Coturnix japonica: one gene and its partner. The protein of the gene in region 1 interacts with the protein of each later gene in a pairwise test. Links are inferred from orthologs where the notes say so. Each region holds a gene or a part of one and is shown in the gene's direction. Other genes may lie near its edges.

Region 1 (3,807 bases):
TCTCTTCCCTGATCTTTCTGCTGGATGAAGGAACTGTCTGCAGTAACTGGAACAGAAGTTGGCTGCTGACCTTCAAACCACGCGCTGCTCCACTTGTATTTGTATATGAAACTCAGTGCCTTTCACACACCGAGGCTCACTCTGCAGGTGATTTTCAGCCATGTATATTAAGTTCTTCATGGCTTCTATTTACTGTAAAAAATGCAACACTTTTGCACATTTAAGGGGAAATAAATGCTAGAGGTTTTTTTGCTTTGTGTATTCCACTTCATCTTTCCATTGCTTTAGTAACATATGCTGTTTACTTTCCATTGACTGAGAACTGCAGCTTAGAAATGCTACACATGTAAAAGGCAGCATCCAGTTATTTTAGAACTAGAGGCAATTCTTCCTTCTCTTCTTGTGAGTGTCTGGGAGGGTTTGATTTCTCACAGCTATAGAGTCTCACAAGGTAGACATCCAAGTCAAAGCCACTCAAGCAGCCCCCTTTGAAGTGATTCATCTCTTCTGCATCAGATGCCCATCACAGAGAAAAGGAATTGTCCTGTGAAGATGGCTGTGTGACAGGTGCACGGCTGAGAAATAAATGTGGCCTTAGTGTCACAGCTTTTCCATTGTTATTTTCCTTTATGGAATGCTGGACTTTGTTTTCTGCTCCTTTCCTCTGCTCGACAAGGCCTGCTGCTACATACTGGCTAGACACGCCAGCACCTGGATTCTGATGAAGGTGAAGCACAAATGCAGTCTAAATGAGTTGCTTGGCTGTGAGATACTTTGATAATGAATTGACTGACAAGATCTCACTGATCAGAACTGGCTGCGTGAGCACTGTATCAAAGTCAATGCTGCCTGCCCCATACAGCAGTGAGTCATAAGTGGGGCTGTGGAGATCATGAGATCAGCAGTGTGTTTGGACTTGAAAGAAAAGGACCATCAGATTTTACTGCTGGAGAATTTCATTTATATATATATATATATATATATATAAACATAAATCTATGTTTATAGATTTCTTTCAAGGGCCCTTGGGTTATTCTCCTAAGGTCTGCTCAGCATGACAACGATACCATGCCACAAATGTCTGTTCTAGAAGCATCCTACCCACCATGAAACAACCTAACACAGTCTAACAGTGGCAGGACAAGGGACAGTGGCTTTAAACTAGAAGAGGGGAGACCTATGTTAGATGTTAAGAGAAAGTTCTTCACTCAGAGTGTGGTAAGGCACTGGCACAGATGCCCATGGAAGCTGTGGGTGCCCCCTCCTTGGAGCTCAAGGCCAGGCAGGATGGGGCCCTGGGCAGCCTGAGCAGGGAGTTTTAACCCTACAGTGACTCTGTGTCTGATATGTCTGATTATGTTAAGCAAAGAAAAACAACTGAGAACCAAAACAAACAAACAAACAAAAAAAACCCAAACCACCAAACAACACCAAAACAACTTCACATTATGTTAGGAATATACATGTAGGACTCATTGTAAAGAACTTTTCTTTCCAAATCCTTATTTCCCCATTCATTAGCTGGTAAAATTTCTTCTTTATGGGAATGCCTCTCTCCAATCTGTTTTCTTTTCAGGAAAGTCACTCGGACATGGGGCCTTCGGGAAGGTGGTACAAGCATCTGCTTTTGGAATTAAGAAATCACCAACATGCAGAATTGTTGCTGTGAAAATGCTGAAAGGTACCTCACTGCCAACCCAGGCTGGAAAAAATGAGGCTCTTTATCATATCATATCTCACTTTTAACATGATTCTGTTGAAAGAAGTATTGTGTGATGCTACCCCCTGCCCCTGGCTGTCTAAAGCATCCAAAATGTGCACACTCAGTTTCAAGGCTGCCAAGATCTTCCATCCTAGTAGCAGAACTCTGAAATAAAAATGATGTCCACAGTAGAAAAGTTAAATTGCCAGGTGGAACAGGAGGAAGTTTCAGGTGCACCAAGAGCCCGATAGTCTGAGTTTCCTAAAGTCTTGTTCCATTACTTAAAGAAGGAATGAAGTGACTCTTATGGGATCAGAGCAGGGAACTACTACTATGTATCCTGCATTGAGCCATTATGCTGTGTTGACCCTGCACTGAGCACAGTACATAGAACTTAGCTGAGCCATAAGGCATCCACCTTGATGACACTCAGGTGGAAGTTTCCACATAATCCTTGGTCATTAGTTCTGATGATTAATCCTCTCGTTGTTAAAAACAAGTGAATTGTAGCTCATTTGCATCTGCCTGGCTTTAGCTTCTCATTCTAACACTCTCTATTAGTATAGGCCCAGCAGTTTTTCTACATGAAGGCCTTTCTATTAAGCAAAACAGACTGAGCAATTTAAACCTCTGAGTTGCTGAGCAGGTGTGCTCTCTCTGAGACACTTGCAGCTTCATTACATGGTGTTAGGATGCTGTTGCCCAGGTAGGGTGATGGAATTGCCATACACTAGCACTCATCCCAAGGTGAAATCATCTCCATTTTTATCATTGGAGAGGAAAGGACAAAGACTCTAATCAATTTAAAGAGGACACTGGGGAGCCTGTACAAGGGGCACCTGCTACTGCTAACTCCAGGATTGTCCCCAGAGGGGAAATTTTCAGCTGACAAGGTTACAAACCTCCCTCCTCTCTCTTATCCCATAAGCACAGAAAAGCCTTGTTAGCAATACACAAGGAGCAACTATCTTCCAGTAAGCATGTCTGGGAAATGGGAAGAAACTAAAACTTTGGTCCCTATGAAGAACTTACGCAGTGGAGGGCCAGTAGCTGTTCATGTCACAGGTTTCAGTGGAAGCCTTCAACCTGGGTCAATACGCGATCTGCCAGCACACAGATAGATGAGTTCATCAAATATCTGGCAGTGGCTTGCCACATTCAGCATTTCTTTATGTACATCTACAGCCAAAGCACCAGGGGTACTCCTAGAACAGGTGGGAGCAATGGCAGCTGCAAGAATCCTTCATGGTGGGATTTATGTACGCATGTGCAGAGTAGGTTCTTGTTTCTGAGTTTGTCACTCAAACTCCCTTTGTTGTCAATGATGAGAACAGTTCATCCCATCCTCAGGCAAATCCCACAGTCTGGTGTTCTGAGCACTTGTATAGTTCTGTTGCCTGTGAACAGAGCCTGTGGTGATTGGGTCCTTTGGGCACTTTTCCCTACCTGAAGATAGGGAAGATCTGTCTCATGCCTTATGTCCTCACCAGATTATCCAGTAACTATGGAGGCATTCATGAGCTTTGTACATGCAGAATTCCCATGAGGTGGGACAGATGAATATTGAGTTACTGATTAGATAATCAGTTTTGTGGGGGTCCACCAAGAAAATCTGCTTCCAAAACGATGTTGAAACCAAGCCCTTTAAGACCTGACTCTGGGTTCTTTTCACCAGACAGTTCTCACTCTTGGCAACATTCAAGTTTTTTAGTCTTCTTGGGTCTATGAAAAATAACACTGTTGGGTTTTTTTTCCTTGTTTTCTTGCCAAAACAAAATTCTGCAGCAGAATTTTGCTTGGATAGAATGAAAAATTCTGCTCAACACTAAGTAGAAACTTTTATGTTTAGTTGTGAGATTCCTTACATCACTGCTGTTGCTATTAATATTGATCATATCCAGAAAGAGTGAGTTTGTCCACAAAGTTCAACCATTTAAAATGTACGTGTCCAGTCTATGTCAATACTTCAGGCTTGTTGTGTGATCAACAGATTCAGAGGAGCTTCACCAAAAGGTGGTTCATCCCTTCTCTGAACATGCGATAGCACTGATCAGCCTCTGGTAACACCTTGCTTTACCACTGACTCCTTGGGAAGTCAACTAGTT
Region 2 (4,535 bases), on another chromosome or scaffold:
CACACAGTTGTTTGTTGCCAGGTGTATGAAGGGGAGATACTTGGCAACAGCCTTGTGGGTTCTGGGGTTCTTGGAGGAATAAAGAGAGATGGAATTTGTCAGCTGCCTTGGAGATGTGCATGTGAACCTGGCAACATGGAGGGAGACTCAGTGCTGGGAATGAGGAGACAGCAGAGCTTGTTTTTCTTACATCAAGCACTTCTGCTTGCAGAATGCTCAATGCTATGACCAAATAAAACCTGGAGCTGCCCCATGGAGCTTGCAGGAGTCCAGCGTGTTCCAGCACTTTGCAGCAGTTTAAAAACCAAAGCAAGAAAGGCAGAGAGAAGCTAAGAGATGCTGTTCCTAATATGGCAACAGCAAATGTATGTAATTCTATTACCCTGATTTATCGATTGCACTTAGAGCGATTACTGGCTTTCACCCCCATCATCTGCCAGGGAGAAGGAGACAGTGAAGAGAAGGCGAGATAAAGGCAGCCAAGCATTGTCCAGGTCACTGTGAGCCCCCAGGGAGGCTCTGGTTCTGTCTGTGGGGCAGAGACCTGACCCCTCAGCAGCACAGCATCCCTCTCTGTCCTCATCCTTCGAAAGATGCTCAGTTGAAAATGGAAAGGCAGAAATAAACAGCACCCGAGGGAGGACTCGAGGTGAGGAGGTGGCTCCGGGCTTGGTCCCCAGTGTGTGAGTCATGCTGGGAGCCCCCACAGTGGGTGCGATGCCTCATGCAGGCTGCCTTGGCCTCCTGCCCCTCTGCTCAGATGCTGTGGGTGGATGCCAGGCTGGACAGGAGGTCTGAGTCCTTTGAATGCCTGAAAAAACAAAAAGCAGGGCTGGGGGAGGGGAGTATTACATGATGGTTTGAGGTCAGAAAGTCCCTTTAAATGTGTCTGTCCATCCCCCCAACCCCCCCCCAGCTTGCTGCAGATACTGGCAAAGAAGCAAGAAAATGATTGTGCTTTTTACTGCCTGAGCCCTCCAGGCAGATATAAACAAGTGGGAGCCAGACAAAATCAGAGTGGACAAGACCACTGGGTTGGGAGGCACGGAAATAAGCCAGCCCTATTGTACAGCAGAGCCCCCCCTGCACCCCTCCACCTCCCAAGCAGCCTCAGGCACCCTGCAAATGCTTCTTGGTGATGGAGTGGTAGAAGAATGGAGATAATGTACCCGTTGCAGGTGAAGGCAGCAGCCAGATGCTGCTGGCCCCTTCCAGAAGCTGCCTGCTGGCCACTGGGGGCATCCCTGGCATGGGAGGGGGGCATCTGTCAGCACAGGCAGCCCGTTTTGTGCAGGAAAGAGCTCATCCCACCTCATCCTCGGGTGTCCACTATTCAGTTGGCTCTTTTGGGGCTCCCATCGTTGGCAGCAGCCCAGAGGGGAGCACAGCCGGGGTGGCTGGGGGCCGGGTGATGCTGGGGGGTGCCAGGGAGGGGCTCGAGGCTGGGTGATGCGGGGTGATCTCGGGGTTGAGTGATGCTATAGGGTACCGGGTTGGGCTCGGGGTGCTGCCGGGGCCGGGCTGCCCGTGCCGGGGGGGGGCTGCAAGGACGGGCAGTGGGGCCGGAGAGGGCGAGAGGCGGGGATGCTCAGACAGCCGGGAGGGGCCGGGGCGGGCGGCGGAGCGCTCTCACCATGACATCAGCGCTGCGCGGCCCCGGGGGAGCGGGTGGGGGGCGGGAGCCGGCTCGGTAGCGGTGCGGGGCGCTGAGCGGCGCCGGAACGGGAACGTTCGGCTCGGCCGGGGCGGCGGGGCATGATCCCCGAGCCCAAGTATGATCGCTTTCGAGACGAGCCGCTGAGGGCCGCGGCCCGGCCACGCCATCCTCCGGCCGCCCCGATGCCGGCTCCGGCACCCGCGCATCCCGGTGCGGCCCCGGGGCTGGCACAGCCGTGCCCCGCTGCGAGCGAGGAGCCGGAGGCGGGTACCACGTTCTGCATGCTGCTGCCTCGGATGCCCCAATGGAAGTTCCCCGGTCCCGGTGGTTTCCTCAGCCGAAGCCCTTCGGGTTCCAGCAAGGAGCTCTCCTCGCCGGCCAAAGCGGGAGGAGCCGTGGAGTCCGGGGGGGCTACGTCCAGCCTGGCCGCCGTGCTCGGAGCCTGCGAGCCGGGTTGCTCGGCTCCGTGCTCGCTGCAGGTGATGAGCCGGCTGCGCGGAGGGGCCGGGGCTGCCAGGAAAGCGGCGAGGGTGGAAGGAGCCCGACCGGCCGGGGATGAGTGGAATCGCAAGGGCAGCTTCATCAACAAGCCGGCCCAGGGCTGGCTGCATCCCGACGAGCGGGTGCTGGGTCCTGGCGTCTCCTACATCGTCAGGGTAAGTGCTGCCAGCCCCGCTCCTCTCTGCTTGGTGCGGGTAGGTGTGAAGCCCCAAGCCCGCAGCTGGAAGCTCCCTCTGCTCACCCATCCCTGTGACACGGTCCCAGACTCTTGAAGGACTGGGCATGACTCCTCTGTCCTGGGATGGGCAACGTGGGGAGCCCCTGTAGCCAAGCAGTGCTGTGCTCTCATGGCGTGCATCCCTGGGCCTGGATGCTGCATGGTGGGAGCCCATTGCACAGCATCACCTGGGTCTCCATCCTCAGTGCAAGGGCAACAGAAATGGTCAGTGGGCCCAGAGGCCGCTGGCCTTGCTCTGGACCAACCCACCCCCGCACAGTGCTCAGAGCCTCGGTTTTCCCCATCCACATGTTCATCTCTGTGGGTACGGGATGCTGGCTGCCATCCACTGCTACACAGAGGAGCCCTTGTCACCGACACCTGCCTCCTCTCCATCACCTGCATTGGGGCTGGTGATATTCCTTGAGGTTTCTCTGACCTCCCCTCCCATCCTGCAGTACATGGGATGCATCGAGGTGCTGCGCTCCATGAGATCCCTCGACTTCAACACGCGGACACAGGTCACCAGGTAAGACCTGCAGAGATTGAGGTCGGTGCTGAGGTTGGGAGGAACTGTAGGGGCCACTCCATATGCTTAGACAGAGGCAGCAATGCAGTGATGGGCATCGGATCAATGGGTGGAAAGAGGAGAAGGGAGGTGGCCCCGGTGGGGATGACGTACCACCAGCCCTGTGACCCTGGGGGAGGCTGGGGGACATTGCGGCTGCTTGGGGATGATACTCCCAGAGCTACAGGAAGGGGAAGCAGCCAGGAAACAGCTGGGATCTGCAATGGTAATGCTGTGGGACTTGGGGCTTGCAGAGAAGCCATCAACAGACTGTACGAGGCAGTGCCGGGTGTGAAGGGCATCTGGAAGAAAAAGGTGAGTTTCCACCTGAGCCCATTCCCTCTCTGCTTTCTTAGGGTTGGGGTTATGGTTGATCCCAGTGCAGAGCCTGGGGTGTTGGGCACTCTGTGTCTTCCCCACCCCATAAAGGCTCTTTGGAAGGGCAACATCACCCCTGTGCTCCTGTCCCCCATCAGGCTCCCAGCAAAGCCCTTTTCTCCATCCTTGGGAAGAGCAACCTCCGCTTTGCAGGCATGAGCATCGCTGTCAACATCTCCATTGATGGCCTGAACCTCATGATCCCTACCACGCGCCAGGTGAGAGCCAGGCATCCCAACCCTCTGCCTCCAACCTTATCTCTGAGCTGGGTGTTGATGGCCTCCCCATGCCCTGCAGATCATCGCCAACCACCACATGCAGTCCATCTCCTTTGCCTCCGGTGGGGACATGGTGAGGCTCTCACGTCCCAGCCCTGCACTCAAGGAGTGGGGACGTGGGGCTGCCCATCCCATGGTGGGGCCAGACTGAGCCAGAATTCAGGGACAGCCCAGTCCTTGGGGCTGGAGCAGTCAGGGCTGAGTCTGGTACTGGCAGCCTCAGCCCCGCTCTACACACAGCAGCAGGACATGAGCCCCAAACACCCTCTGTGTCCCCAGGACACCACGGACTATGTCGCCTACGTCGCCAAGGACCCCATCAACCAGAGAGGTGATGCTGATTCCCGGGGCATGGAGAAGGGATGAGTTGGGCTGGAGGAGGGCACCTCTTGGTGGGGTGTGAGGGGCAGCTGGGGGCTCTTTGGGGGGCTGCTGTGAGCCTGGGGGAGGGTTCAAGTCCATTCACCTGCCTGTTTGCAGCCTGCCACATCCTGGAGTGCTGCGATGGGCTGGCACAGAGCGTCATCAACACGGTGGGACAGGCCTTTGAGCTGCGCTTCAAGCAATACCTGCACAGCCCACCCAAGGCTGTTGTACCCCCAGACAGGTAGGGCTGGGGTCCCTCCATTCTTTCTTGTGCCTTGTCCTTGCTTGGAGTGGGGCTGTGTCTCCAGCTGCCCCTGCTGTGTTCTGCACAAGGGTGCTGGGGATGGAGGAGTCAGCGTGGGGGGAGGATGATGAGGTGGCCGAGCACGATTACTACAACAGCATCCCAGGCAAGGAGCCACCCCCAGGGGGGCTGATCGACTCCCGTCTCCAGCACAGTGCATTCCCTGGCCGTATACGTGTTCAGCCCTCTCACCAGGTGAGCCCTGGAGCCACTGCTAACCCCACAGTGAAGACCCAGAGTCAGTCCCCCCTGTAGCCTTGCTGTCT

The links.
Region 2: the proteins of FLT1 (region 1) and SHC2 interact in a two-hybrid assay, tested with the Homo sapiens proteins (2 studies listed by BioGRID). The link is inferred for Coturnix japonica from reciprocal best matches to the Homo sapiens genes FLT1 and SHC2.

What each region holds. Positions count from the first base shown.
Region 1 is NC_029516.1:157,331,150-157,334,956, forward strand, and holds part of FLT1 (vascular endothelial growth factor receptor 1), read left to right. Parts: intron 1-1,576; coding exon 1,577-1,681; intron 1,682-3,807. UniProt on the Homo sapiens protein: Tyrosine-protein kinase that acts as a cell-surface receptor for VEGFA, VEGFB and PGF, and plays an essential role in the development of embryonic vasculature, the regulation of angiogenesis, cell survival, cell migration, macrophage function, chemotaxis, and cancer cell invasion.
Region 2 is NC_029543.1:1,744,429-1,748,963, reverse strand, and holds the start of SHC2 (SHC-transforming protein 2), read left to right. Parts: upstream 1-1,670; 5' UTR 1,671-1,755; coding exon 1,756-2,313; intron 2,314-2,833; coding exon 2,834-2,904; intron 2,905-3,197; coding exon 3,198-3,258; intron 3,259-3,419; coding exon 3,420-3,539; intron 3,540-3,618; coding exon 3,619-3,672; intron 3,673-3,878; coding exon 3,879-3,930; intron 3,931-4,079; coding exon 4,080-4,206; intron 4,207-4,298; coding exon 4,299-4,464; intron 4,465-4,535. UniProt on the Homo sapiens protein: Signaling adapter that couples activated growth factor receptors to signaling pathway in neurons. Involved in the signal transduction pathways of neurotrophin-activated Trk receptors in cortical neurons.